2 linked regions of the Drosophila melanogaster genome follow. The protein of the gene in region 1 purifies or fractionates together with the protein of each later gene. This does not show direct contact. Each region holds a gene or a part of one and is shown on either strand. Other genes may lie near its edges.

Region 1 (16,200 bases):
AGCGACGATGTCCTTATACAGGAACCTGGATACTCGGATGATTGGTCGGATAAGGAGTTCGCCATACGCATCATCGCCCATGAGACCTCACACATGTGGTTCGGGGATAGCGTGACCTTCTCCTGGTGGAGCTACTTTTGGCTCAATGAGGCCTTTGCCCGCTACTACGAGTACTTCATGGCTCATCAGGTAGGATGAGAATTCGAATACATATTTTTGCCAGTATTGTTACATAATCGATTCAGCTCTATCCAGATTATCACTTGGACGAGCAGTTTGTGGTGCGCCAAATGCAGCTGATATTTGGAACGGATGCCCAGAACGGCACTCAACCCATGACAAGTCCGGAGTCGGAGATTCAAACACCCTCCCAGATTGCCTACAAGTTCAGCGGGATCGCCTATGCCAAGGGAGCTTGCATTGTAAGGATGTGGCGAAATCTCATGGGAGCCGAAAACTTTGACACAGCCATCAGGAGTTACCTGCAGCAATAGTAAGTAAGGTATATTTTTGGTTAGAGGCGAAAACATTTATCTTGAAGGTGTCATAACCTATATTTAGTGAAGAGGTTCTTAATTTTGATAAGGGAATTATACAATTATCATTCTTTTTCCAGCCACTTGACCAATACAGTACCTTATAACTTATTTTACCATCTCTTCGAGCATTGGCCAAAGAATCAGGATGTGGATCTGGTTGACTTTCTTACCGATTACACCGAGCAGGTTGGTTATCCCATGATAATTGTAAAGGCTTTACAGGGTAACAAGGTCGTTACTGTGGAGCAGTCGCGATTCCTCCTTAACAAAGACGATGGCAGTAATGCTACACTGAAATACACAGTACCAATAACTTTCACCACTAATCTGGAACGCGATTTCTACAACCTTACGCCATATAAATACCTACACAAAACAGTTAACGTTCTGTGGCTGGATTTTACCAGTCCAATTGATTGGATTTTATTTAACCTGAGGCAGTCGAACTACCAACGAGTGTTCTATGACGACACTTTAAGGGAAGGTCTTCTGTTAGCCATCTCGGCAACGAATCACAGTGGAATACCGGTTGAGAACCGTGCTCAAATTATTGATGATCTCTTCAATTTCGCGCAAGCTCAATATGTGGATTATGCTGATGTATTCAGGTTCCTGGAATACCTGGCGAAGGAGGTGGAGTACGTGCCCTGGTATGCCGTCTATGAGAACTTGAATACGGTGGCAAAGCGATTGACACCTGAACAGCTGCCCGACTTCCGGATATATCTTTCCAGCATCACAGCAGCTGTTTTTGAAAAACTAGGAGTTGGCTGGAACGCCCAGGATACTCCTGTAGTTAATTAGAATTCCAATACTTCTGATGTAGTTAATAAAGTCTCAAAACGCAGTTGGTCATTTTATCTTTATTTGGTTTTTATTAAGCGAGCGTACATTCCAGATCTATTCCTGATTTATAACTGATCTTAGTGTGGTCTACAGGCAGATCTCTTGTGACAGCCAAGTGCTGACACTAGCAAATTCTGCAATATGTAAGTATGTAGTTCATACTCGATAACCAATGGGAGTCGAGTGCGACCCCTAAAGGCGTACATGCTGAATTCGCATATTTAGTATTAGGGTGTATCTAAAGATCTACTAGGGTGACCCTAAGGAATTAGGGTGGTCCTAAGTTTACTTATTAGTCGACTTATTATTATGATTCATATTATAATTATTATTAATATTATTATTATTATTGTTATTATTATTGTTATTATGTTCGTATATACTACATCTCCCTCCTTTTGAAAAATAACGTAATAACATGAAGTTATTTTCAAGTATATAATAATTTTTTTTTTAAATGTACATTAATATTTGAAATGAATGATTAAAGAGATATTAAAAAAAATATATATATTTTCATTATATTTTGCAAAGTAAAAGTTTTGTATTATAATGTTTTTATTGGTTTTTATTTTATTTGTGGTTTTTTTTTTTTTTATTTGTGGTTGGCCAACCAAACAAAATGTATTATGAATTAAAAATTTTTAACCTATCTTTATGGACTATCTGTTTTTTATTTTTATTTCCTATAATTGTAATGTTGTCATTATCTCCTATTTCTGAAACTAAATATGGTCCTAAATAATTATTGTCAAGTTTATGACCCGTTTCGTTTTTAAGTAATATCTTATCTCCTATCTTTAATTCAAAGTTACTAATATTTCTATCATATTTTATCTTTCTATCGGCTTTTGCCTTGTCTAACATATTTTTAGCTCTTCTATATGCTATTTCTAATCGTAGCTTAACTTCTTTTGAATAGTCATCCATGTTGTAAATAGGATCTATTCTGTCTATCCTGTTAAAATCTATGAACTGTCTTGGTAATCTTCCAAATACTAATTCATATGGACAATATTCATGAACTACCGATGGTGTTGTGTTGAAACAATAAGTAAAATATTGTATCCATATATCCCAATCGGTTTTGTCAACAGATATATATGAGCGAACATACTCGTTGAAAGTTCTGTGACTTCGTTCTATTGTTCCTAATGTCTGGTGATGGTGTGCTGTTGAAGTAATGTTTTTTATCTTCATATATTTGCATAGGTCGTCTATAATTTGGTTTTTATATTCCGTTCCCATGTCCGTTATGATTGTTTTCATTGGACCGTACTTTAGAATAAAATTTTCGAATATAGCCTTAGCAACTGATTTTGCACTTTTATTTGGAATTGGTACCGTTACCAAATATTTTGTTAAATCGCAAATGATAGTAACAGCATACTCATTTCCGTTTTCTGATCTTGGCAGTGGACCAATGGTATCTATCAAAACTTTATCAAATGCTGTTGCTGGCGTTTCTGTTATTGTCAACGGTGTTTTAGTATGTTTTGTAGTCTTGGCTTGTTGACATTTTAAACATGTTTTAACATATTTACTTATTGCCTTTGTCATTTGTGGCCAATAATAATAGTTTTTTATTTTCCTCAGGGTTCTAGAAATTCCTGAATGGCCTCCTTCTGATGGATCATCATGATATTTAGACAGTATTGCTTTTATTTGAACCTTATCATTTTTATCTATCTTAGTCACCTTGTTTAATAGCGCTATTTTTAAATTTTTTAGTATTTTATTGCCCTTTTCTTTAAAATTCTTTATAGTGACAAATTCGAAGATTTGTTCACTTGGTGACAATTGTGTTTGAATGATGCTATTTATTCTTGCTTCTTCATTAAGCCTTTGAAAGAATTGATCTAAATCGATTATTTCATTAGAATAAAAATTAGTCATATCAAAACGTGTTATAATTTGTTTTCCTCTTTTCAACAAACACTTATGCTTGTCTATTTTGAGTATAACATATTTTTTGGCATCAATGTTATTGATTACCTGATAGATATTGGGCATTTTTATATTTTCTTTCTCATTTGGTTCATGCAATTTTTCACCTGCGCAGGTATTTTTCTGTCTTGTTGTTGATCTTGTTGTTACCTTTAGTATCTGTCTATTTATTGCTTTAAGTTCTCCGATTGTTATTCGGGACAATGCGTCTGCGACATGATTATCTTTCCCCTTGAGATATTCTACTGTGAATTCAAACTCCTCCAAGTCTAGTCTCATTCTGGTTAATTTTGAACTGGGGTTTCTCATTGAAAAAAGATATGATAGTGGCCTATGGTCACTTTGTACTAAGAAATGTCTACCATATACGTATGGTCTGAAGTGATTTATTGCCCAGTGAATAGCTGCTAGCTCCTGCTCTGTAGTGGACTTATTACTTTCGCCTTTTGTAAAGCTTCTTGAAGCGTATGCCACTGGTAGCTGTTGACCGTTATGGTCTTGAGATAGTACCGCTCCACATGCTTGTTTACTAGCATCTGTGGTTATGCAAAATTGTTTGCTGAAATCTGGGTACTGAAGGAGTGTTGGTTTCATTAATTCCCTTTTGAGATATTCGAATGCATCATTGCATTCGCTTGTCCATTCAAATGGAACATTCTTTTTACAAAGCCTCGTTAAGTGGCGTGATTTCTCAGAAAAGTTCTTAATAAATCTTCTGTAATAATTGCAAAATGCCACGAAGCGTCTAGCTTCGTCTGCGTTTACTGGTTTGGGGTAGTTCTTTATTACCTCATATTTAGAGTCATCTGGCAATATACCTTTGTCAGTACACTTGTGACCTAAATAAGTAACCTCTTTCATAAAGAAAGTGCATTTTTCTGGATGTAATTTTAAATTATGTTGCCTACATAATTTGAAAACGTCGGTTAGATTTTTAAGCATGTGCTTTTCAGAACAGCCTATGACTACTAAATCATCCATATACAGAAATGCTTGCGAAGGCGTTAAACCTGAAAATGCAAGGGTCATCATTCTTTGGAAAGAATTTGGGGCTATTTTTAAACCAAATGGTAATCGCGTGTAGCGGTATGCTCCCGTTGAAGTTGAGAATGATGTTATATTTCTTGACCTTTCGTCTAATTCTATTTGATGGAATCCTGACATCAGGTCTAGGCACGAGAAATATTTTGCTCGGCCTAATTGATCAAGAATATCTTCTATTCTTGGAAGTGGGAATTTATCTGCTAGCAGTTTCTTGTTTATTTGGCGATAATCGACTACTAATCGCCATCTCTTTTCCTCCGAGTTAGGCAGTGATTTCTTGGGTACCAAGAGAAGAGGGCTATTATATTCTGAAATAGATGGTTCGACAATGCCATCTTTTATTAATTTGTCAACTTGCCTTTGAATTTCTGGTTTTTGACTTTCTGGCATTCTATAGTTTTTGATATAGACTGGAGTTTTGTCATTTAATCTCAATTTTTGCTTGTAAAAATTATTAGCTGATATGGTTTCTGTTTCAAGACCAAAAATATCGCTATATTCGGTGCATAATTTTGTTAAATCGCTTTTGAATAACGATGGAAATTTAAGAAGTTTTAATACTTCTGAAGTTCTTTGTGCACTATTTTCTATATTTGCGTTGTATACATCATAATCATCCAATGATTCGCTTTTTATATTTGCGCTACTAACTATAGCGTCTTTTTCAGTTGTATTAATAATTCGAATCAAGACGTTCTGAGTGTTTACGAGTGCACTTGCGATTATTATGCCAGGTTGTAATTCCTGGTTGGGGATGAGGACATGTGTGTCAGTAGATGTTAGTTGAATCTTTCGAATCACTTCTGATCTAGCTGGCAAAATTATTTCATTATCTAGTGAATGTATAATAGGAATGTTTATGTTCCTGAAATTTTTGGGCCTCAAAGTGAACCAATCTTCTTGGTCGTGGAATTCCAAAATACAATTGTATTTCTTAATGAAATCCAAGCCAATTATACCATCCCCTGGTATAGGAAAATTGTCAGGTACGATATGGAATTCATATGGTATTGCTGCATTAGCAATACACATTTCTAAATGTAGTGTACCTAGAGACTGAATTGTCCCTTGCCCTATTCCTGATATATTTGTTGTATTTTTTGGATTTAAATCGTTAAGATTATTGTTTCTGCATTTAAGCAGGGAAATTTCTGCACCTGTATCTATTAAAAGAGTTACCCATGAATTGGTACTCATATTCTTCAATCGTATAAAAATGCTTAAATTGAGATTAATTTTGTATAATTTTATTGTAGATTGTCGCTCAAGGGGGTATGTTCGTTTTCCGATTGTATGTTTCGGACATTGTGGGCATGACTTGTTTTATAGTTATGGTTTTGGTTACCTCTTGAGTAACCTCCACCTCTATTATAATTTTGGTTACCACCTCGTCCTCTGTTTCCACCATGGTAACCACCTCTGCCTCTATAGTTGTTATTGTAGGAGTTATAATTTCCTCGGCCATTACCTCTGTTTTGGTAATTTCCTCGGTAATTATTACCTCGATAGTGTCCTCTATTATTATAGAATAATACACTATTTGAATTGCCGGTCATTTCTGTACTGCAGTGTATGTATTTTTCAATCACGCTATTCATCGTGTTGAAATTTCCAGCTTCCAATATGGTTTTGAGCTTATCGTGCCCACAGTTCTTGGTCATTGCAGATATGGCTTCCTTTGTAGCGAATTTGTCTGCATTGTTGGAATCTAAACCATCATCTATATAGGCTGCTTCGAGCAACCCACGTAGGTTTTCTATCTCCGTGGTATATTGCGCTGCAGTTTTGCCGCGCTGTTGTGTACTAAGTATTTTTGCTTTGATGACATCGGGCGATTCGCCTTTAACTGATGCTTTTAATAGATTTATTATACCGATAATGGTCTTTTCATTTTCAACTTTGTGTGATAATGGACCAAGTATCTTTGTCTTGATTACCTCAACCGCTAGCATCTCCTGATCTCCTTTTGTCAGATCTATTAGCCGGAGAGCCGTGAGGAATCTATTCAAGTTTAACTTTTTGCCGTCAAACTCAGGTATTGTGGACGAAATTTGTCGCACATATTCCCTTGCTGTTGCGGCAGAGTCTGTCATTTTGTCCGTTTCCTGTATTCTTATTCCTGTATTTGAATCTGAAAGTTCTTCTTCAAGTAATTCGGGTAATGTTATTACCGCTGGAATTGCAAGATCGTGGAGATCCTCTTCTTTTATTTCTATTTCTGATTCTCCTACACTTTCGATATCCTCACCGATCTCAGCCACTATAGGTGTGCTTAAAATCGTTGGGATTGTAATATTTAAGTTGTGTCTGTACTTGACGTTTAACAAGTTCTCACGGAACCTGTTTAGCAATTTTACTGCTTGTGATAAATGATTTTTTGTTAATCTTTTCCTTTCTCTGTAAATTAATTGGCGTGCTCCATTAAAGCATCTTACCAATATCTGCGCATGCTTGTTGAGAGTGTCTTGTTGCACTTCTCTATTTGGTGTCATGCATTTATAAGACTTGTCAAAAGTTGTTTTAATTTCTTTAAGCTCGTTTTGTATTTCTTGCCAGTCCATTTAAAGAATACTATGGATTTATCTATGCAATCGAACTTTATAAATTTTGGCCTCTCTCAAATAGGTTTCTTCAATAATCTTTTTTTTTTTTTCATTCTAGTTTTCTGATATTAAAAATAAAAATTTTAGATCATCTTAATTCAAAATACATTTTGGATGTTTTTTTTTTTTTTTTTTTAAATTTTATCCAAACTATTCTCTGCTTTGCCTATATAACGCCTCTTTATTATCTTGTTATGCTTAACATATAGCGTTAATATAAACTGAGCGACTGTTACGATCGTCATGATCAAAAGGAGTAACCACAGTGACTGAATGTCATCTGTATGGTCGACTATTTTTAAGTTATTGACCACATTGGCCGTATTATCTTTTGTCTGACTATCGTCAGATCCAAACCAACCCATTTTTGTATATTTTTATTTTTTTTTGTTTTATTTTTGGGTTTTGGTTTATTTTACTTTAAAAATATGTTGTTTTGATTTTTTTTTTTTTTTGTTCAATATAGTTACATTTTCCTACCTAGTTGGTGTATGGCTTTACGGGCCATTCTTCTCATCGGGCAGAAAAAGTTCCGCTCAATGTTACAATATTTTGTGTAATATTAATATGCAGCGCAGTGCATCGAGGGTGGTGTGCCACGCAGGGCAACAAAAAAAAATATTTTATTTTTCAGCTCCTATTTGCTTCACTCTGACCCTCCTTGCGTCAGCTGGACGTCGCCGGGGTTGGCACGCTGACACTCCCTCGATGACGTAATGAGCGGGCTGCTCACCACGTTGATGATGATTTCCTCATTTAGGGGTTATGTGGTGGAGCTGCAATGTCTGCACGTATGTTCACAATGCGGTGTGAACAGTGGTCCCTCGCAGTCGTTCGGGCATCTTTTCTTGAAAACAGGCAGGCTTTTCGGATTGGGAGTTGGAGTTTTGTTAATTGTTAACGATTTTATTTGATTTTCTGAGTGAGCGCGTGTGGTGGGGATTTTTTTCTTGAGATATTCGACACAGTGGTCTAGCTCAGCTTGTAGTTTTTGAGCTTTCGACCATTGGGGTGGTGGAGTGTTCGTATATAATAGCCACTTTATGTGCGCTATTCTCTTTTTTATATTATGTCGAACTCCGCCCCTGTTTTTTCCCATCACACTGACACTCTACTCACTCAGATCGCTTTTTTCTTCATAATTGCCGCCGTCTTGGTGGATGAGCATCGAAGTTGAAAATTATCACAAGCGGTTTCCTTTAGCTTCTGCTACAACTTATAACGATCCTTTGTCACGGTCGCCATGTAGTTAATTAGAATTCCAATACTTCTGATGTAGTTAATAAAGTCTCAAAACGCAGTTGGTCATTTTATCTTTATTTGGTTTTTATTAAGCGAGCGTACATTCCAGATCTATTCCTGATTTATAACTGATCTTAGTGTGGTCTACAGGCAGATCTCTTGTGACAGCCAAGTGCTGACACTAGCAAATTCTGCAATATGTAAGTATGTAGTTCATACTCGATAACCAATGGGAGTCGAGTGCGACCCCTAAAGGCGTACATGCTGAATTCGCATATTTAGTATTAGGGTGTATCTAAAGATCTACTAGGGTGACCCTAAGGAATTAGGGTGGTCCTAAGTTTACTTATTAGTCGACTTATTATTATGATTCATATTATAATTATTATTAATATTATTATTATTATTGTTATTATTATTGTTATTATGTTCGTATATACTACACTCCGCTGGATGTGGCCAATCGCAACAAACTGATCAAATGGCTGTGCAGATACCAGGCCAGCAATTGCAGGCCAAAGGTTAACGTTCAGTTCGTAACAGGTCATGAAGTACCATCGCCGGATTACCGGGAAACGTTCTATTGTGCCGCCAGTGGTGCCGATTACAACTCATACACCATGTTGTGGGGTCAGTATTATTTGGAAAATCGCACTAGCGAAAAGAATATGCTCTGGGCTGCAATCAGCTGCACGAGAGACTACGAAACCCATTACCACAAGATGATCATCTCTGGTACGGAAAGTGTTGAACAAAAGAAAATTGGTATCGCCCGTATGTACGAGGAGAATCCTGACTTGGTTCAGGCAATTTTCGAAATGATTACCGAAAACATTATGGAATTAGCGTATAAGTGAGTTATTTTTCATAATTTGATCATCTGAGAGTGTGGTTTGATTGTTTATTGAACACTTAACCTTGTCGCTTTTCAGCTTCCAGAGTTGGTCGGGACACGGCCGAGGTGATCAATGACATGGCGGAGTACTTCACCACCCGGGAGCAACAGCAGTTGCTCAAGGAATTCTACTACAGCAATCACCAGTTCTTCGGTGAATCGGAAGAGCTGCTCTCCAAGTCCCTGGTCACTGTGGAAAAAAACCTTAACTGGGCGGAAACCCATTTGGAAGGCTTAGTAAAATATCTGGCGGACAGAAATGGTAGCTCCTGCCTGGGAGCCACTTCCTTGGTGGTGGTTCTGCTTTTAGCAGTGGGCAGCATGTTGGCCTGGCCCTGATTAGCCAATAAGTTGTGAGGGAAATAAAGAGATTGCCGTGGTCGTGCGCCGCGGGAGAAATGCCCTTTTCGTGTACGCAATTACTAGGCAAAAAGGTTTGGACGGCCCTTGCTTTATTAGGCCATAATTTACGCTGTCGAGCGGCCATTAGAGCGGCATCCGCTGGCCAAGTTGGTCTATAAAAGCCCGGCGGCTGCAAGTGGCGTTTTCCATTCCACGTGAAAGGACACTCGCAGTCGGGCCGACGAGATGCTGCGCCACCTGCTCCGCCACGAGAACAACAAGGTCTTCGTCCTGATCCTGCTCTACTGCGTCCTGGTCAGCATTCTGAAACTCTGCACGGCACAGCCGGATAGCTCTGTGGCCGCCACGGATAATGGTATTTGATAAGGCATTTGATAATATCATATTATTCGCTCTAATGGATTCCATTTACCATCCAGATATTACGCATCTTGGCGACGATTGTCAGGTGACGCCCGTCATCCATGTGCTCCAGTATCCTGGATGTGTGCCCAAGCCGATTCCCTCGTTCGCCTGCGTGGGTCGCTGTGCCAGTTATATCCAGGTGGGTGTTGATATACTTGAAATATAAATTATAATTTGATATAATCTGATGACTTTAGGTTTCGGGCAGTAAGATCTGGCAAATGGAGCGTTCCTGCATGTGCTGCCAGGAGTCTGGTGAGCGGGAGGCAGCCGTCTCGCTATTCTGTCCCAAAGTGAAGCCCGGCGAGCGTAAATTCAAGAAGGTCCTGACCAAGGCGCCATTGGAGTGCATGTGTCGGCCATGCACTTCCATTGAGGAGTCTGGCATCATACCACAGGAAATTGCCGGCTATTCGGACGAGGGTCCACTCAACAATCACTTCCGGCGCATTGCTCTGCAATAGATTCCCCCATCAGTTTAGCACTCATACCCATGCCCATTTGCTCATTAAAATAAATTAGAGTTGCCGTTTCTGCTTGTACACAGTGAAAAATGTGCCTCTGAAAGCTCATGCCAGTGAAAGGGAAACATCAGCAGATATATGATTATTTTAAATTGTAATTTATTTCCCAACTATCTCATGTCATTGCTACTAGTTCACTAAATGGTGTGTGTCCTGCTTCACAGGGTATGTATGTAGATGCGTAACTCCAAAGAAAACAAAGATAATCTTTACACTGCAACTGGATCTAACAATAGGAGTTTAACTACGGCATAATGCATATGACTCGCGCCGCCTACAAGTACTCGACGATATCGCATTTGATGGATATATTCGGACAGCTCTGGCCCACGGCACTGCGGCCCCGATAGTTGGGACTCTTCTCGGTGAGGAGTTTCCGGAAGATGGGCAAAATTGCCGTCTCGCCCTCGAGCAGTTCCGTCTCGCTGCTGGCGCCGTAGATGCTGCTATCCTGCTTGCCGCGCTGCCTGCTCCGCTGCTTATCGGGCGCCACATTGGGCGAACTGTGGTGGTGGGCGGCGTGCTGGATGTTAGAGCTCCGGCTGACCTTACGCGGCTGGACGCACGGCTGACTGTTGGGCGGCGGATCTCGTTCCCGTTCGCTGTCCGTCTCGCTCTGGCAAACGGTGCCCTTTTGCGGTTTTGGCCGATGTTTGTTGCGGTTCTTCTCGGAGACGGACCGCTGGATGGGCGAGGTGGTGTTCGGGTCATAGGTCATCCCGTGGCCGCCATGATGTTCCGCACAGCGCTGCGGACTGGCGTAGTTCCGCGGCGACTGGCGCTGCTTGGCGTGCGACAGCGTGTGCGTGTCCCAGAGGTCACTCTGTGAAACCACGAAATTGGACTTCAGAGCGGAGCCCATGCTGGTGCGGCGATGGTCGGAGGCAGTGGGAGCTATTTTCGATTAGAAAATCGATAGTATTATAGTATTATAAGAGACGCGCAGAAAACTTACTCTTAATCACAGCCGGAGTACTGGGCTTTGAGTGTGGACACATGTTGCTCAACTCCGATTGCGATGTGGAGATGTTGGTGGAGGAGTTCCGGTGCGAGCTGCTGTACTTTGGCCGGGCGGTGGGCGTCTGGCTGCCACTGTCGTAGTGCCTGGAGGCGGTCGATTGACGCCTCTCCCGCATGCTGGAGCAGTCTCCTCCGCTCCGCTTGCCCGCCGTACTGGTGATGCTGCCTATATTATCATCGGTCTGAGCGGACACCGAGTTTCTCTTCTCCAGATGGCGATGATGATGCTGCTGCTGCTGCTGTTGCTGTTGCATCTGCTGGTGTTGCTGCTGCTGCAGGTGCTGCTGCTGCATCTGCTGATGTTGCTGTAAGTGCTGCTGCAGTTGCTGCTGGATGGGCTGCATCATAGTTGGAGCAGGGGCATGCGAGTGGTGCTCTACAATCGATTGCTTTTTCTTTTTGCTGTTGGAGAATATCCATAGATTAGAGTGTATTTAAGACCAAAATTTAAGAACTTACGGAGGAAGCGATGGCGCCATCACTGTAGACTGCACCGACACAAAGGAGTTATCCATCTCCACATGAGTCGAGGTCACACTATCCACGGACGTCATCTCGGTAACTTCTATGACAAACGGGTTGCAATGCATGAACATATCTACGAAATCCCCCTCCTTAGCCACTCACCTGTGGTGCTGGGCATCTCTCGACGCACCGGTGGAGCTGAGAGCCTAACAATGTCATCGTTCAGTATGGGCTCCAGTTCGCTACCGACGTTGGAGCCACCTGTGCAGGTCACCCCATCGATCCATTTGCGTGCCTCGGGTCCCAGCTTGCGGATTAAGGCCTGCAGCTCGTTCTCCTTCTCCATCAGCGCCTTTCGGAATCGGCAGTTTGTGTTCTTTACATCTCGCAATCGTTGCTCCAGTTCGCACACCGAGGAATCCCGGCGTCCGTTTTTGGACATGGGTCTCAACGTGGCCCTAACGCGTTTGTCCACCACGCCCTGGGGATTCCGCTTCAGCTCCACCAACTGCAAAACGATTCGCATGAATATTAACCAAAGATTATACTACGCGGTCAACATCTAGGAAGGATCAACTCTACGGACAGTAATATAGGATAGTTAAAGATATTCCAACAGCAAGGAAGTGGGATTTGCCTACAACCTTGCTGCTGCTCTTAGTGGGTTCTATATAGTTCAAGTTTATAGTTAGTCTGTAGTGTTATATAGCATTTTAAGATCTGTTTTCGAGTACATGTTGTTTCTGTATCAAGGTGTATCAACGCTAGACGAAAGATCAGCTCAGCTGGCGGTAAAGTACGATCAGTTAAGAAGCTCTAACCACAACTGATCGGCCTATTACCGCCGACAAACAACATTCATATTACACGATTATTATATGTAACATATAACAGCTACAAAAACTACAAAACTTCCTTACTACCAGTCTTACTTTCGGTACGAACACCAAACACAAAGTGGCTGTCGTACAAAAAATGATAAAAAACGAGAGTAAGACAAAAACTAAATCCTTTCGATCCGATAGCACCAGGGATATAGCCGCTCCGGCCAGACAAGTGATGAACACGTTATAAACGGAGAAACCAATATGCTTGGAATCGTTCAGAGCCGGTATAGAAACATGTCGAGTTTCCCAGGCCAAAAAGGCGCCAAAAACCTATTGAAAAAAATTATTGCTTTATTATAATGATATCTTACAAATTAATGTTTATTATATACTCACCAACAACAGTCCCTTGTAGGCATAAATAATGCTAACGAATATGGTCATGTGCTCAGACTGGCAGTACTCGTTTTCGGGGATCACCAAGACATCATCAATATTCTCGTGATGCTGTAGTTAATAATAATCATTTTAGATTTTTCACTTCAAATATGTTCTATCAATGCACTCACCAAGGGTTCCAACTGTTTAGTTTCGCGGTAAAAGGGATCGGCAATCTGCCAGGTGGTTATAATGGCTATATCAATGGCCAAAAGCACGCCCACAACCATAAACAATTGATAGTCCTTGATCACCTTCTTATTGAGCTTCAGATCGGTGAATATCGAATGCACCCGCCACGTCTTCGAGAACATGGCTCCAAAACTGAGACTGAATCCAGCCATCAAGATCCAGGCTCGAGCTGTGCAGATATAGGGAAAAGCTGCCACACTACTTAATGTGGTATCGAGACCCAGGAAAATGATGCTCAAATAGGTCATCATACAGCCCACAATGATCAGATTGTTCAAATGGGGACTGGACATCTTGATGTATCTATAAAAACATCAATATTTTATTAAACGAAATTGTTTAATATAGCATTGTTAAGCTCACCTTTGATTGCGATACTTAATGTTAAAGGCCAGAAAAACTGTGGCAATAATCACTCCAATGACCGAAGCACTAGCCGATACAATATATATGGTTGGATTGACCTGACTGTGCTCGATGTAGATCAAAGTGCGATCCTTGGGAGGAGTTTTCCCCACCCATTTGACTGGTTTTCCCAAGCTTAAATCCAAGTGTGACTTCTGTGAGTGGTATTCCCCGATCTTTTCCATTTGTCCCAGCTGAAACTGATTGATCAGGATGTTGGCCTTGCGCTCGTTGTTGTAGAAACGCACGGGTCCCTTGAGAATGTAAAATATGTTTTAACTGCAAAAACTGGATTGTTTATCTATCTACCGTCACACCCTCGAAGGATGTATTACGTAGAGCCTCAAGGAAGACACTCTCCCAGTCCTTCACGCGATAATCAAAATGTGTTAGCAGATCCTCTCGCTTTTCGGCCACATACTGAATGGCCAGGGCAGCTGCCCAGATACCATCGTAGGTATAGCCATGAAAGCGGGAATATTCAGTGCCTCGCAGTCTGTCGTACTCCACAAGATACTCATCAGCAGTCTAGTAAAATATGAAATTTATTACAAGAATTTTAATAGACTTTACTGGTACTAACAATGCCAGCCACTGTGATGTCACCACTGGTGGACAAGGGCAAAAGATCCACTAGAATGGCACCTTCCAAGGCTGTAGCGATCTCCTCCACACTGCACTCGCTGTCCTGCGTGACATTCCACCAATCCGTGGAATAGGTAGCCATGATCAGCCATTGATAGGCTCTGCCATACATATCCAATCTGGAAGGGAGTTTATTGCAATAATTTTAAATTGAGACTTAAGTTAGTATATCCAACTCACTTATAAGCCTCACAGAATGCCTTGCGTGCAAAGTGCTCGTTAAAGTTGCCCAGAATGATCCTCACGTCCTTCTCGCGCAGTTTCTTCAATGATTCAGCCACATCGTTGACGAAGCTCTGCGTTTCCACCACCTCGACCTCCATGGCATCCAGGTCAGCCACCATGTGATTGTGGGGCAGCGAATAGCGTGGCTCATTCTGGTAGACAGTGCCCACTCTGGTCCAATTGAACTCCTTCAGCAAGGCCAGTCGCGGCGCATTAAAGGCATTCTCCGAGGGTACCACGCGAAAGAAATTCGGAAACGCATCCTTGGTGAACATGGGATGGGTGTCCGCGTAGCTGAGCTGGGTGAGGTGCCAGTGCTTGCTGGCCTTGGCTATGGGATCGGTCACATGGGTGCACGCAGCGCCGAAGAGCATCACTTTATTGGGACCCGAATGCATCATATCGAAGAAGGACTTTACGCCCACAGCAGCATTGCACTGGAAAGGAAACCAAAATTACATTCCAGAATATATGGAAATATGCATAGGTAAAGGTGTGATATTACAATATGAACCAATGAACATTAAAAAAAATACCTAATTGAACTTTAAAAACCACAAGTCCATCATCAGAGATTCACTTAATGAAATCTTCAAGCTAAACCCTAACTCACCTGAGTGTCGTTCCACCACATGTGCAGCCTGTAGTTGGCCAGTATCTTTCCATGCTCATTAACGTGACCCAAGGCGAGCTTTACACTGGGCATAACGCCCCGACCGGTGTAGGAGTTTTCCACGCCATCCCCGTACGGGAAGAATCCCGCTATGTAGACGTCCGATCTCTTGGCTGTCCTGCCACAGGCGGTGCTCCAAAGGAGCAGGAACAGCAGGCTGGCGAATGGAAACCAACTTGGCCGGAACATGTTGACCGCGTGGGCTGTAAAACGATTCTAAATGTGAATAGCGCATATCGAGGACGTGAACTTGGAGCCAAGTTGTGGGTGGTGAATGGCAGTGGTTGGTTTCGGGTGAGCCAAGGCTGCCGAGGCAAGGCTGCGCCCAGTGGGTGTGTATTATTTTCTACGTTCTACCTGTGTTTGCTGGCACTCGCATGCAATTTTACAGGACAGGTGGAGCAAGGCTAAGGCCAGTCCAGGCCAGCAAAATTGCTTCAAATTGCTGCAGCAATGCTGGCACGTTTAGTAATTATAAAGCAATTTAATGATCTAAAGGATTCGTGCATTATTTAGTATGCTCGTTAACGCGAAGGAGTATCTTCCAGGTGTTGCATCCTCTTAAATCTTATGTGTACATGTTTTTAGGAACCTACCAGCTTGCTTAGTCCCAGAACTGGCTTTTATTTCACTACCGATGCCATTTGAAACACTTATTTTACATCAAATCTCAGCCAACGAAGAACTTTTGCAGTGCGAGGGTCCGAAAAATTATGTATCCCCCTGACTTGACATTTGTCTGACAGGAGGAATTCGAGGCAGGAAGTGCGCATGTCCTTAAACCGAAAGCTGTCACTGCTCCGCCTTGGCCTAGGCTTTCCAACCCCCGTAATTACCATAAACCCACTGCGCTTGTAAACATCCTGCAACAGGTGGTCCCATCAGCTGGTACTCCGGCAATT
Region 2 (15,829 bases), on another chromosome or scaffold:
TACTTACCAACGAACTATTAACTTAAAAAAGAAACAAATCACAGTAGATAGCTCTTTTCGATACATTTGGAATATTTAAACATTTCAAATTATTAGTGAAATTTTAGCATATTTAGCATATGGTGATTTATGAATTGAATAGGCAGGCATTCGCGACTCAACACCAAGACGAGAATCGCATAGACCGTAATTTGGGTCAGAATCAGTAATGTGCGACACGACAGGCGAGATATATCACAAATTCGATTATTATAAATCATATTTGTACAGTTTATCCATAAATTAGCCCGCATATCTATCTATTCGCTGGCTATTTCAGGTGGCTGAAACTTGTATTTTTTATGCAAGCATACACACATATTGTATATATGCGTGCACATGGCGATTTTTTATGGGCGATTTCTTTTCACTTCTAGTGGTGGCAATCGGGTTTTCGGAGTTGAAAGTCCTTTATTCATCCGCGCACACCCATAAATCAAATATATATATCTCCCTAGCATTCGCGAGTGCGTGTGTTTTTGTTTGTTTGTTGCTTTCCCCTCAGCCCGAGTTGGCTACAATTTGTTTAACAGACAGGCTCGGCACATCCTTGCGTTATCCTGTTGCCCTCGTTTGTTGCTGTATTACAAATGACTGTGGAATATTTATAAGCATCATAAATTTAATTTATGTCGCCGCTGCGCCCGCCGCGTTTATTGTGCGCATAATAAACGCTCCACAAAAATCCCTTCTCGACCCAACTCGACCGGGACTCCAGTTGCCTCTCGCTTCGTGTAATTTATTATTTTTATACGTTCCATGTGTTTGTGCGGCACGCACTTTCTACATTATGTAATATACGAGATATAGTGCGAAAATTGCAACAGCTATTACTTATATTTATTATGGCACTTTTTGCCGGATTTTTGTGCTTCTTGTGTTGCAAATAATGATTAATTGAGGTTCATTTTTTCATATTGAGAAGCTCAATTTGTAGGTCAGAAAAACAGAAATTATACTAATAATTTGTTAAATAAATCATTTGAGTAGATATGCGCAAATATTGTAAAAGAAGCTTTCAATTAAGAAATAATACGTTTAAAAATGCTTCATTTCAATAATGAAAATATTCCCAATCAAAATAAGTATCAGTATATTAAGATTATATATTATCTCATTGCGATTTCTGATTATAAAAAAGAAATTATCAACTGACATTTAAGGAAATTATGCGTTTTGTATTTTAATTTTCCTTAATCACGATCCTTAATCAATGCGATTCGACACTTAATGAGCTAAAGTGAAAAATTTACATGCCACCTAATGCAATTGAATCATAAATTTTGTTTCGGAAAAAATTAAATTGAAATTAATTAAGCTAAGCTTCAAGGGAATGTGAAGTCGCTGTTGGCACAGGTCGTAAATTCACTTGATTACGATTTATTTGAAATGAAATCAAAGCAATAAAAAACACAGTTGCCGAAACGCAAAACGGAATGAATTTTTAGAAAACCGAGAAACTAACCCCAAACGCGACGATCCATTTGCATTGCAAATTGCTTTGTCAAGTGAGTTTTGAGCTCTAAAGCGGACCATTCGCGCATAAAAATAAAGTAAATATATATTTTATGTTTCACTTGTCGTCGTTTAATGCCATAAAAATGGGTATGTGTCTTATTAACTGATGAGGCCGTCGTTTCGCCCAACCAAATATACATTCCCAAACCGGTATGGCACCAGCCAAGTCAAAATCCGTAAGCAGTGCGCTCCCAATCCCCATCCCATCCAATCGAATCCACTCCAATGCCCGTTACCTGACTTGGGCCATGGTGTCATTAATTTTGGAATCGTAAAGCCCACAATATGTCAAACGAGACCACACAGCGTCGTAAAATTCAATGTTTATGGGCAGCCTCTGATTTTCGGTATAGTATAGTAAGTTTGGCTTGATTTTTTTGTTTTTTTTTTGTTCAAGCTGAACTTGCTTCGGCTTTGGATTTCGAATTTGATTTTGATTTTCATTTTGGCTTCGGTTTGGGCTTTGAATTTGTTATCAAAAGTGTCGCGTCGCTTTTAATGGCTTTTGCTTTAGGTGGCTGACTGCCTTGTTGCGTGTTTCGGTTTTTTAAACGCTTGCCAGAAAATTAAGCGTAACTTATTTGTCAAGTTTCTGCTCGTTTTTTTTTTGGCCTCTTTGTGGAACATAAATAAGCTTGATTCGGTAGGAGATTGTGTGTCCAGTCAAATAAGCTACAAATGCCAAATCAATTAATGTCGTTTTATAAAGTGCTAACATGAGTAGTCCGTCTCGAAATAAATACATTTTAAATTCATTTGTGTGATGCATTTAACTGTAGTATTTTCAAAAATATTTTCTGTTAGAAGAAAACTATAATAACATAATAGAAAAGAGTTTCAATAAATATTCAGGATTTTTAAATATTAATATATCTGAATAGTTAATAAAATGTCATGTAAAATCCAAAAAACTGATTTTCCCAATTGCAATGTAGATTTCCACCGAAAGCTGCAGCATTTGGCCAATTGCATTGCCTATTTTTGCACACGCTTTGCGAAATATCAATAAATATTTTGCTAATTACACCGCAGAGTGATTATTTAAGCCGGCTATATGGGCTGCTGCTGCCGGTGTTTGTTGGCCGTCGGATTGTAACAGATGCCCCATGGCATCCATAATAATGTTAAATGCTTTATAATAACCATAAATGTTTGAAATGTATGTGCCAAATGGCTTTTGGTGGCACATCCAACCGCACACAGAAGTCGAGTCCAGTCCGTTCATATAACCAGTTCGAATCCAGCTGCGTCTCTCGACAGCCGGCACAGTGAGAGGTCCCTCGATTCCACTGAGTCGTGGTCGGACTTTTTGCCATGAAAATTGTTTATGGACATTTTTGTGTTGGCGCGGGGGTCAGTGGGTAGAGTGTTTCTGAATTTAACTGATTTTTAATGTGCGCGCCGAGACTGGTGGGCGTTGGCTAGATAGACAGAGGGAAACGGGCATAACTCTGGGTTCGACATATAACGCCATTCGGTATTAGCCAATTTGCGGCAGTTTATTGGTGGAAAACGGTTTGGCATGATTGGCTGCCGGTTTGCTTGCTGCCTGCAGTCTGCGCTGGCTACTGTTTAATAAACTCATTGATTTATGTCTAATTAAATTTGTTGGCCATATTAATTTATGCCAATTATCGCACATGCACATGCGCAATCAATTCAATTCCCCATTGGGTCAATGCTACATTTAAGCAACCAAATAAGCGCAGCAACTAAACGAATAGACGAACGGGTTGACCGTATATACTACATATATCAATGATTAATGATCAACAAATTGGGTTGACGGGTAAATGGAATTTTTTCTTTATTTCACCGGAGAAGCCTGACCATGAAAATTGAGAACCCGCAACGCCCCAAACTGTCAGTTATCCATCACGATTGATGGATGTGCTCGACGGTGGGGCAGTCTTTATTCCATTCCACGGCGAGAGAGTAGAAGCCACCATCCACTCATCGTCATTGTCCGTAACCATTATCCGCCACTCTAGCCCCGGGTACTCGACTCGACTCGACTATATATGAACATACATACATATACTCGCAACTCGTATCTCGTAAATCGTGCAAAATGATCCTCACTTCCCACCATATAGGCCCTCCCTTTGCGCCGATCGCCGGGGTGTTACCCACACATAGCCCAGCTGATTTGGCTGCCTTCGCTTATCCCGAATTGTAATCAAGTTAATAATAGGCTATGCGCACCTTAATGCTGATTAGGGGTTTTGTTTTAAAGCTTTGGATGGGGCAGGCAGATTGAATGTTCGGGCCTCATACGCACCATAATTATGCAGGGCAGTGTAGAGGTGGCTAACGGGCAAATCGTTGGAGCTGCTTACTTTCGCTTCACTATTTCTGCACTTGTAAAGTACTACTCCCAAATTGTTTATGTACAGGTAGTGAAAAACAGTTTTAAGTTATTTTCCTCGATTGAATTCCGATAGAAAATGAATGAATCCATTAGGAGCTAATTACTACAATATAACTGAGATTTCTGCTTAAGCTGCTTTGTTTTTCCCACTTTCCACCTTTTTTTTATATGACTAGCTTTATGTGGCTATCAAAATTAATTTCCAATATGATTGATACGTTTTGCAGGCACACAAAACCGCTTCCAAAGCAAAAATGACTTTGTCCAGCGGACAACTATAAATCATTGAGACAAAAATGTGAACACGCGGCACACATTAGTCAAAGAGGGCAAAGGCAGCCGAACCGAGCTGCTGGCCAAAAACGCATAAACATTTTACAGCGCAAACAATTAACTAAAAATAACATAAAAGAGTAGGCAGCACACGGCGAGACATGGGGCCAACTTGAAAATCTCGAAACTAAAAAAATGATTAATGAACGTCGCAATGGCCGTTTGGGAAAGTTACATAAATTAACACATGTCTTTACCATAATGAGTCAACAGCGATTTTGGCCAACTAAGAGCCACTTCAGACCGATTCACTCCCAGTCTCTAGTCATCAGACAGGCAGCCCCAAGGCTCCAAAGTCGGCTTAATTTAATTAATGTGTCTGCCCATAATCATTTTTCGAGTATGTTTCTACAGCTGGCGTTACGAGACACGGACAGTAAGTATTAATTCTAAATCAATTAGGCAAGGGCAAACCAATCAATTGGGGGAAATTAAAAAACTATTAGAAAAAATCCAGACATCGCATATATAAATGTTGCCAAGTATTTAACTATTTGAAAACCGCATTAGGCTTAGCATATAGCACTTTGAAGTTCTAATTCTATTATTTAATATATGAATATAATGGCGACACCCGCAAATCAGTCAAAATGCTGCATTTTTTACCACATATATTTGTTTTTCCTTGTCTGCGGACAACGAAATGAACGCACGGTGAACCAAAAAATAAGGGCAACTTTCTGGTCATGACAGGTTCCACAGGACTCGGCCAGACGGGGCACACACTCATAATTGTTGTATTTGTTGTTAACGGGAAACAAAAGGAGCAGCCGGTCCAAGTTCATTCAAATGGTTCGGTTGAGGGCCGAAACGCCACCGAATGCGGCAAAAAAAAATGTGTGGGGCTCATGTGGCCCCAGGACAAACAGTCAGGCACACCGAAGAGTATCCGTGTATCGGAAAGGAGGATGGGAGGATGGGAGGACGAGATGCCCAGGCAGACACTAATTCGATCTGATAATCATGGAGTTCTGCCAAAGGGCATGAATTGTAATTTCCTCTTTCGCGGAATTAACTGTCGGTCCCTGTCGCTTGGTCGGTTGGCTTTGTTGTTACGATGTTTTGCGATTTTTTTGTATTTATTTTTTTTTTAGCCTTTTCGAATCTGTTGAATTTGTTGTTTTTTCCTTTTGCACAAAGACACACGGGCTATCCATTGTTGGATGGTATTTATGTGTCATATTTATTCATTTAAAGCATTGCGCTTTTGTTTTACTGCTGCCGGTCGTGTGTCGCTTTGGATTTCATTCATGGACACGAAGCCTGCAGGATGTATTTTTTACCCTTGGTTATCCTTTGATGTCGGGACTTCTTAGGGAATGGCACTAATTTGAACATTGATCTGAGCTGCATTGGGGCAGCACCAATCTTTTAGGCTGGGCGGAACATACTAACTAATTTTTGTACACCATCATCCATTATTCAGCTTTTTAATAGGGAATTTGAATTAATTTTTATAATTAGAAGTATTTTCTTTTTAAGAATCACAATTGCAATATTGTCTAGAAATGTAAATAAGTCTTTATTTTTTTATAATTTTAATTGAAATCCTGAGTCAAACTTTGAGTTCCAGCATTGAGCGCAGCGGTTTTTCCGAGCAAACTACCATTTAGACTATTCGCAGACAGAAAAACAGGAAAAATAGGCAAAAATCCAGACAGTAAACCAAAAATTCAGAACAAAACTTTGCGCCATACGATAGATACACAAGCATGCATCCTTGTTTATGTATTCAAATACTCGTGTGTGTATACATATGTATATATGGAGAGACGGAACTGACTGAACAACAATTTCGCAAACGGAGGGTAAAAATAAAATCAGCATTTTTAGTAGTTAATTTAATTTATTGCAGCGTTTTTATGGTTGACTTTATTGCATAATAAAACATAATTTACTGCGCCATTGAGACTTTTTGCGTTTGCGTCGATGATTCTAAAGCGCAACCATCGACCATGGCCCACAGAGGAGTGAAGTGGAGAAAGGCGGTCGAGCCCACAGTGGGATTCAGATACAGATACAGCTACAGATACTGGGAGAGAGAATGTGGTTATTGCGAAATTGGGCGAGACAAAGACGATGCCAACAGGGGAGGGCCAACAGGGCCAAAAGCAGGCAATAACAGACACGAGAGGTGGAAAACTTCAGACAGATTGCAATTTCATTTTTTGTTTACGTGGCCGGAAAATTGCGGGAAAGCCCCTTGTATAGATTAAGGCTGAAAGTATTTGCCTCTTTATTGCTCACACCAATAAATTATTGTAATATAACCAATAGTATAAGCTAAGTGTAACGCAATCTGGCATTAAGTTATTAAATTTTCTGCAATCATTTTATATTTTTATTCCGTACTTATCGATTTGGTTTAACGTGTAAAAAATCGAATCGATACAGTCGACATCGTTACTTGTGGTCAAGTCGTTTGATTTAATTACCAATTAACGGAGCACAAAAGTGATGTGTAAATTGCCATGTCCTACCGCAACTTAAGCGACCGAATTTTCACCCGCTGGGCAGGACACAAACATTCCATCAGCCAGTCATTGACATATATCATGGAATCCAATCAGGTCCAGCCCTCTTCCGTATAAAAGAGCCTCCGGGTGAAGCGATTCCAAACAGTTGGGCGTTGGGAGTGGGTCAGCATGCATGTCCAGGAACTGCTCTTTGTGGCCGCGATCCTAGTGCCCCAATGCCTGAGGGCATTGCGATATAGCCAAGGCACTGGCGACGAGAACTGCGAGACTCTCAAGTCGGAGATCCACTTGATCAAGGAGGAGTTCGACGAGCTGGGCCGGATGCAGAGGACCTGCAATGCCGACGTCATCGTCAACAAATGCGAAGGATTGTGCAACAGTCAGGTGCAACCATCGGTGATAACGCCCACGGGGTTTCTGAAAGTAAGTTTGAATCCTGCCTCTATAGAGTTAGCGAACTCTAAGGTTCCATGTTTTCCAGGAGTGCTACTGCTGCCGCGAAAGCTTCCTCAAGGAAAAGGTCATCACTCTAACCCATTGCTATGACCCGGACGGCACCCGTTTGACCTCTCCGGAAATGGGAAGCATGGATATACGTCTTCGGGAGCCCACCGAGTGCAAGTGCTTCAAATGTGGCGATTTCACACGTTAATGCCTCAACATAAACTATGCTATTTGCATCCATTTGTTTTAGTTGCAGAGTGAAATATGTTTCATATATTTTCAAAACGAGCCCCACATTAAAAGTACCATTACTTAAAATCATGTATATTCTTAAATATTTCGAATTAATAAAGGAATAAGTGAAAGTCCCAGCTTTTTCAGTTAAATAAATACATATATCTTTAATGTCTATTCTAATATAACCATTAAATTAAATTAATACAAAATTAGTTTCTATATTGAACTTTCCACTTTTTCGCCCTTATTTAACTTATGCTTAAAATGGATCTTCGTGTGTGTTTGAATAACAACATTAGACTGATAGCTGCTCATGATTAAAGTGTCTGTTGTTTCATGCATTATTGTTTGCTACATTGATATGCAGTAAGCCAAAGGCTAACAAACATCTGTTTGATTGAAAATACAGTACACATTTCGCTGAGAGGCACTTGCTATACTCCATGAATGCATGAACTTTGATTTTCCCAAAAATATGCAATGCAATCCTGAATCGGAAAATGTTTGACATATCACTGGAGGCCAAAAATTGATTGCAACCAAAATGGAATACATCACTCGTCCTCTGACAGGCATTTGCAATGGCCAGGGAAATGGCAACGAGCATATTGACTTTTTGGCCCAGCCTGGCTACCAAATTAACTCATTTAGTCAGAGGGTCCGGCGCACTCGCAATTGCCATATTTATGTTGGCATCTGTGCGGCACATGATGCCTAACCACCCGGAAACTCGTCTCGCAAACATAATAATCAAGCATAAACTGCACTTAAGATGAAAACCGCTTTCTGGTTGTTAATTTTCATCATTATTTTCCCTATTCCTCCTGTTTTATTATATTTTATTTTAGACATGCGAGTACCCAGCTGAATTGATTAAAGCCACCAGAGATGGGGCAACATCGACTAATTGTAAATTGGAGCTTGGCTTGGAACGGAACACGCTCGGTTCGGGGCTACATTATAATTTCATGTTCACAAGCACATTTGCACGCACTGTAATTTACTTAAGCATTTTTCCACAGCTCCCCATATACTTACTACCCAGCTGAATGTGATCTCCACCGGTCGGTACTGAGTTGCCGCCTTTCGTTCGTGTGTGCGAAACTCATAATTTAGTTGACACGCCCATTAACATCGGACCGCAGTGATCTTCCAGAGCTGCTGAGCTCCATATACCCATCCAAGATTTGTCCAAGGGGGAACGGTGGATCAAGAGGGGGGTTCCTGGGTGGCATCGCGCGTCAGTGGCTCCATCAACAGCAACGTGCCGACACAATATAAATTATATATTTATATTTATAACATACATCGAGCAAGATTTCTCGGCAAATCTTGCATCCCGGATGGAGTCACGTAGAACCGGTGAGCGAAAAACTACCTGCGATCAGATGATCATTCAAAACTTTTAACATTTCATTAGGGTAATCAAATTAAACAGTCTATAAGCGAACGGGTTTCCACAACAACACAATTACTGGTCCATTGCAGGTGCTGAATAACTCATTTAGCTTCAATCGCGGATCACCTGGAAAGTGTGCATCGATTTGAGTCATTAACTTAAGAACGAGTGGGAAAGATACTTTGAACTAAAATGGGATATTAAAATTTCAAGATAAAAACAGGTTCCTGTACTGTGTGGTTTACTCAGAGGGCTCTTAAAAAGAAATTAAAACTTTTGGAAGACTTTGCGCAGATTATTAAAATCGATCGCTAAATACACCAATAAATTTCACTCACAGGCCACATTTATGAGCCAAATCGAACGCATGCATCGTGTTAAATAAATTGCTGCATATTTATAAGTTATAAATTAAGCGCTGGCCACGAAAGGCAGGCAAGTTGCTATATTCTTCCGAGTCACTTTGATGATAATTAATGAATGTTAATTAATAACAAATTTGAAGATCACAAAAAAGGGGGGACAAAAAAATATAAACATTTACTTGAATGCTACTTTATTGTTATTGTTGCTGCTGCTGCTGGTGGTGGTTATCGCTTATACAATATCTAACATACTTTTTGTGTTAAAACGCGTTAATATTGGCAATTAATTTTCATCATTTCGAATTCTTTATTTCTTCTCCATTCGCATTTGCATAAAAACGCAATTAATTTGATTGTTTGTCATTCGGTGAAATATATTTCTGTTTGTTTTTAATGAAAGCTCAAGGCGAAATGTAAACAACAAAGATTTTGTCGAACGGAAAAATGCTTTTAGTGTCAAGACACACTGCCGTATTAGCTCTCAGCCCTCAAACACAATCAGCCCACATTAATGGCCAAAAGACAAGAAGGCGTGACATCATTGATTGGCTTTATCTTCAAAGGTATTTCTGTTGCTTTTTTTTTTCAAAAATCTCTTTGTTTGCCTATGGTATTATACGTGTGGAAGCTAACAAGAAGATCGCTTCGCTTTCTGATTGAAATTTATGTTGTGTTTATTATAACTATAGTTTAGCCTAATGCCATTCGACATATCTGGACAATACCATATCGAATATTTTATGGATTTAGCTCAACTAATTAATAAGTCTGTGGAACACAAGAGAAGGAGTTGATTAGGTATTTTTTGCGTATATCGATTAAATTATTACTATAGGAAAATGTATTCTCATCTCGCCTTATTCGTAGCTTAAATTCTGTGTTGCAACATGTGCATCCATGCCATTAATAACAGCTAGCCTAAATCCTTAATTTTTCCTTCATTTAGAGTATTCAGGAAGCAGCATTGTGGCAGCTTCCGCCCAAAACTTCGCATATATCATATTTCAGTTAGAAGCGGCAGAAATTCAGAGTGCTGTGAGCTAGGGTGGACCAACTGCGAGGTGCAAGGGGTCACCTGTCAGAGAGCAAAAGCCCAGCGGAGCGCAAAGCGTTTTTGCATTTTGCATTAAATTTATGATTTTTACAGCTGACATTTGTTTTCGGGCGCCTTTTTCCTCCTTGCAGCAACTGTGTGACTCTGTGTTGCTCCGCCACCAGCCGCATGTGCGTAGGGCATAACATGTAACAAGGCAACAGCAACAACAACAATCCGGGCACGACAGCAACATATTTTTTCCGACTAGCAACTGCAACTGAATCAGCATAGGCGCCACAAGTGGAAAGGAAGAACGACTTAATAAATGCTCTAACCATAAGAACGTAAAACATCTTTTACATTTTCGGAAAAAATCTTAACAGAGGAAATGTTTTTTTATTTTATAACTTAAGTTTATTAACTATTAATTTAGTTCGTTTTTAATATTTGATAACTTTAATAACACCAAGATATTTACAAATATTTATATTTAATATTTAACAAGCCTTTGAAGACAAAAACCAACTGTAAGTAGTATTTCACCAGAATTTGGAAAACATGTAAGTACTCTCAGTAAGGGCATTACAAAAAACAGAGGTAGCAGCAGCTGTCATAAGATAAAAATTTGCCCGCGCCTGCATATTGCATATGCAACTGCAACCGTTGCAGGTTGCCAGTTGCTGGGCAGGGACGAGCGCGTAGTGGGCCAACAGGGGCAACATGCAACATATTCTAATGCGTTGCGACATCAAGTGACAGCAACGGCGACAGTTGCTGTTGCCGCATGAGAGGCGGCGACAGGCGACAGCAGAAAAGATGAAGAGAGCACCAACAGCAGCGGCAAAAAGTGTACATGTGAAAAGCGAACTGCATTTTCCCGGGCATGCAAATGAACTGCAATTATGATAAACGCCGCCAGTTGACCGGATGTGGCCAACTGAAGGAAAACTGGCCCAAGACCGGGACACCTTTTGCATCGCAAAGATTGCGCAATTATAATAATGGGCAATAAACATTAGATGCTTAGAGATTGCAAAGAAAAGGAAATTGAAATGCTTAGCAGCTTGCAGAACATGGTGTACATAAGTTCGTGATGTATTAAAAATACAATGTTTTTCTTTAATTTATTTTAATTAACTATAAAGATTTGAGGTTTCTAACAGCTAACGTAGTCAGGGTTGTCCTGTATAAACGGAATTCAATCTATAGACACAGCTTAGTTACATTATTTTGCTTTAAGCTTTTTCGCCCCTTTTGAAAACAAATTCTGAAAGTAAAGTATATTAAATTGAAGGCTGCATATGTTGCCTGCTGGACTATGGCTTTTAGATTTTTTCATTTCCCAACCGTTTTTGTGTGTGTTGCACACAGTTCTACATGAAGAAAGCAAAGCCCCTTTGGCACATTACTCATACGCCCCAGTGGGCAAATTTATGAACTCACCAGCGCACTTGAGGCCACGACAAACGAGCATGAAAAAAAAACACAAAACCCTACAAACACACACTCCTGACATCCATGTACAAACACTGGGTAAGTGCGTTTGTATGTTTATTGGAGAGCAAAGTATAAGTACGGGGCTAGTAAAGCAGCTTGTAAAATATGCCAGGGGTTAAAAAAGAGTGCAGCACATAATTCATACACATATACAACGGGAAAGTCGCCCGGAAAATGTGGCCAAAGGGTAAAAAGATGAAAAGCATAGGAGAAAGCGTGGCAAGGGGTAAAGCTCAACTGCAATCGAGCAACGGGTAAGTAGATGCAGCCGAGGACTGCAGCATCTCTTAAGAGGGTACAGCATACAAATGGCAGCACTGCGGATAATTACATATGCATTTTAGTTTATTATTATTGCTTTCAACAAAGAAATACATTAATATTGATGAACTACTTTTAAACGTTTTAATAAAACAAATGCTTACACATTTAGTATAGCGAGTTCTACAAAAGCGATGGGGTTTTTATTTGAAGCAAAACATTGCATACTTATAGATACCTTTTGAAAGACTAGTAAATATATAGTCAAATAGTAATGAGGAAGTTTTTCCAAGCCCATTGTCACATCTCAAATTATTCCCGAGACATCCCGCAAACTAACAAGCACTCAACCACTTTGGTGACCATTTTGTGTTACTAAAAGGGCTTTTCCGGTCACATGTGCCGCCTCCTCGTCCTGTAAGCCGCATAAATGAACTGCTAAAATGCTAACAAAAGCCCGAAACGGAAACGACCCCCGCACCGTGAAAAACGCACCCCCGCTTATTTGTCTGTTGGGGATATTCGCTTGGGCGCGGCAGACAAACGCGTACGAAAAAAAAAAAGGATATGGGCAAACCCGGCTCTCTATTATAATTTCCCTTTTTTCAGTTCGCTTGTGTGGTTTGTAATGTGTTGTGGCCACAAAATACTGTTAGCCACTTAATTTTGTGGTTTACCCAGAGAGCGAAAACGACATATACTTTTTGTGTGGTTAATTGAAACTCGATTGTTTTGTGTTAAACCAGAAATGAGTCTATTAAGTCCGAAAACGAAACTAAAACCATATTGTGAAACAAAAGGAAGCTATAAAACGTTTGACTCTGTCCGCCATTAAAGTGGCATCTAAATAAACATTTTATGGTTTTTGAAAGGCGAAACTTTCAAAAGCTTCTTAATGAACACGACAAAAATCCACAATGGACGGGGGCATTTTATGAGAGCATCACCAAAAATGCTCCAAGAAGGCGTGGAGCAGCAGTGGCAGCTGTCAATATATGGCCGAAATATGTAAATTATTGATTGTTAATTCAAAGCGCCACGATTAGTATAATTGTGTATTTCTCTTTCAAATCCTAAACATTTTAATGCCATAAAGTTAGAGCAGCATTTCGCCTTTTGAATATTTAACCAATTGCGTGGTCTTGGTTGTGTTTTTACGACCATTTTTGCTTTTTACGATGATGCGGACCCAATAGAGCAATTTAACCAGAGATTATGACTCCTATATTTGATTTCTTAAATTGCCCTAACGTGGGAGCTATGATTTAGATATTAAACTGCATATGTACATATTAAGCATTAAGAGAAATTTAATCGGCAAACTTGAATTACAAATTTGTTTTTTTTTTATTAACATTTTTTAATGTTAAAGATGTTACGATATTACTTTCGAACATTCCATTCTTATTGCATTTATAGCATCTAAGTGAGAAACTAAAATTGATTTCAGTGTGCAAAATGAGGGATAAGTTCGTCTCAGACATTTCCCGTCATCATGTGCAACCCGAGATTTTCATTTTCGCCAGCTGTTTTCTGTTTACAGTGGGGAAAACTCTCTCTGCGAAGTGAGGGAAATACACCAAATCGTGTTCTCTCCACGGAAATGGTTCTCTCGTTTGGTGCTCTAAATCATATTTCCTCGGCTTGCAGTTTTTAACACATTCCCCAACCCCTCCTCACACACACTCTCACACTGGCACACCAACGAGCGCCACACACACGCCCACCTGCTCGTAAACAATTATGGCCGACGCCGTTCCGCTCTCCACACGCACACAGGCGCCATGGCTGCACACACATGTGTGGAAATAAATTCCCCACAAAACACTGTGAAACAACAACAACAGCAACAAAATTACCCAAAATGGCTACACAGAAGCGGCGATCGTCCAATGAGCGTGTTGGTGTCGGTGTGCCCAGCGTTGTGTGTGTTGTGTTGGCTCTATTTTTAATTTCCAATATTTTATTTACACATTTCTAGAATTTTTTAGCTTTGTACTCAATGATAGCGCGCAAAGAAAAACTTTCCAACTGGGCGTATACGCAATATTTAAAACTTATTGCTTGATCTAAGTGTGAACTTACTTGTGCTCAGAATTACAAATTTCCAAAAATCTTTCCCTACTATGTGTATAATAAATGTTTAAGATTTTATTTAATAATATTAAAAAATCCTTATAATTCTTGGTACATAAGTATAATATAAAAAAATGTTTCTTAAACAACCGGGTACCGTGATTACCCTTCATTTTATTTATCAAATTTAAAGCGGAAATATACATTTTCAAAAATATCCAGAAATTTCCGTTACTTCCCATCGTCAACACTGCTTCTCCGTCACATAGTATCCGTCTACTACTAACCGCCAATTCTACTACGCTTTTTGGCTCTCAGCTCCCACGCGAAATTCGCTGCCTCAGCAAAAAGCATGCGCGCTCAGCAAAGAGCGCAGAACTAAAAACGTTTGCTCTCGTGCCCCAACTACTTCGCTCTTTCGCTCTCGCGCCCTAAGAAAAAGGGGAGCGCATGGCCTCGGACAACAACAAAAGCACACTTGTTGAAAACGAAAACGGCCACAAACAACAAAGAGCGAACTGGTTTTCAAGCGAGCGCGAAACTACTGAGAGAGCCGATTGGAGAGTGGGGGTGATACGAAAAGAGCGAAAAGGAGCGTGCACGTCATGTTGTTTATAGATTTTTAGTCGAATTTCGTTATTTCACGTTTAAAGTTCGTACGTGCGCTGAACGGACGGACTGCTACGACCGGAGTGTTGTGTTGTGAGTGCGAAAGCGTAAAATCGGCCAGGCGGATACATATGCACTTCCCCCAAACGCAAAAAAAAAAAAATTTTCAAAATATATACGAGAAAGTCAACACAATCGCCTATTTTTTAAGTCGTTTTCGAGTGATCCTTGTGCTTTATCAAAATTAGACTGAGTTTAAAACAAAGTATACATGTGAAACAAAATTAGCTCAGTAAATAGCAAACTTTTGGATAACCCCACGTTCCCGGAACCATCTAATAACGTACGTGCCTCATCATAAAACGCGCCCTCAACGAGGCATTCGAGCGAAACCACTAACCAAAAACGGCCAAGCCAAAGAAATAAATAAAGTACATACATACCTATGTATATCTAACAAAAGGAAAACCCATAAATGAATACATTGTAAAAGCCCATGCGTGAATCAAACGTAAATATTGTAGATGCAAGCCAGCAAAGAAAGTAGTGTGTAAATTCTTTTTTACACACATATGTATCGTGTACACATATAAATAATAAATACCGCTGAGGCAATTATAATACTTAATGAATTTATTGCACAATTAAAGCGAAGCCAGCATATCACAACAACAAATTAATATGCCGCTGGCGTGAAAGTCACAACTCGACGCATGAGAAATCCCCCCTGCGCCACAGCACTGAATTATTAATGAAATCGAATTACAAACAAAGCCCAGCAAGCATCAGCAATAACGATTGCGAATCGAAATCGGAATAAATAATAAAAAGAGGAAAAATAAAAAATAAACACAATAATAAATTATCATAAATAAGTACTCACATCAACGAGAACCGCGAAACGTGGACGGCTTAATCAGCGAAAAGTCAGGCAGCTGGAAAATATTTCAAGCAAGGCGCAGGCGCCGCTTTTCACACGAGTTGGCAGCACACGCCACATAAATTGGCACTTACCGTTAAGCGCACTGCCGTACTTTGCGGTCGGGACAAAAGCAACAACCACTCAACACCTCCACCGAACCACCAAAGAAAAGCCGTCAAAGTGGATTTAACAAATTATAATAAAATGCTGCAATCCAGCAATCATCATTATTTAAGACCGGATTA

What was found.
Region 2: the proteins of Burs (region 1) and Pburs fractionate together in Drosophila melanogaster (co-fractionation; 2 studies listed by BioGRID). This does not show direct contact.

What each region holds. Positions count from the first base shown.
Region 1 is NT_033777.3:21,759,847-21,776,046, forward strand, and holds Burs (bursicon), read left to right. Parts: upstream 1-9,671; 5' UTR 9,672-9,704; coding exon 9,705-9,834; intron 9,835-9,898; coding exon 9,899-10,023; intron 10,024-10,081; coding exon 10,082-10,348; 3' UTR 10,349-10,433; downstream 10,434-16,200. Other genes in the region: GABA-B-R2 (metabotropic GABA-B receptor subtype 2), read right to left, coding at 10,683-11,302, 11,364-11,830, 11,888-11,990, 12,056-12,401, 12,814-13,050, 13,117-13,227, 13,290-13,653, 13,714-14,009 and 4 more. UniProt on the Drosophila melanogaster protein: Final heterodimeric neurohormone released at the end of the molting cycle, involved in the sclerotization (tanning) of the insect cuticle, melanization and wing spreading. Heterodimer specifically activates the G protein-coupled receptor rk.
Region 2 is NT_033779.5:14,408,396-14,424,224, reverse strand, and holds Pburs (partner of bursicon), read left to right. Parts: upstream 1-6,893; 5' UTR 6,894-6,906; coding exon 6,907-7,161; intron 7,162-7,219; coding exon 7,220-7,390; 3' UTR 7,391-7,496; downstream 7,497-15,829. Other genes in the region: elB (elbow B), read left to right, coding at 15,789-15,829.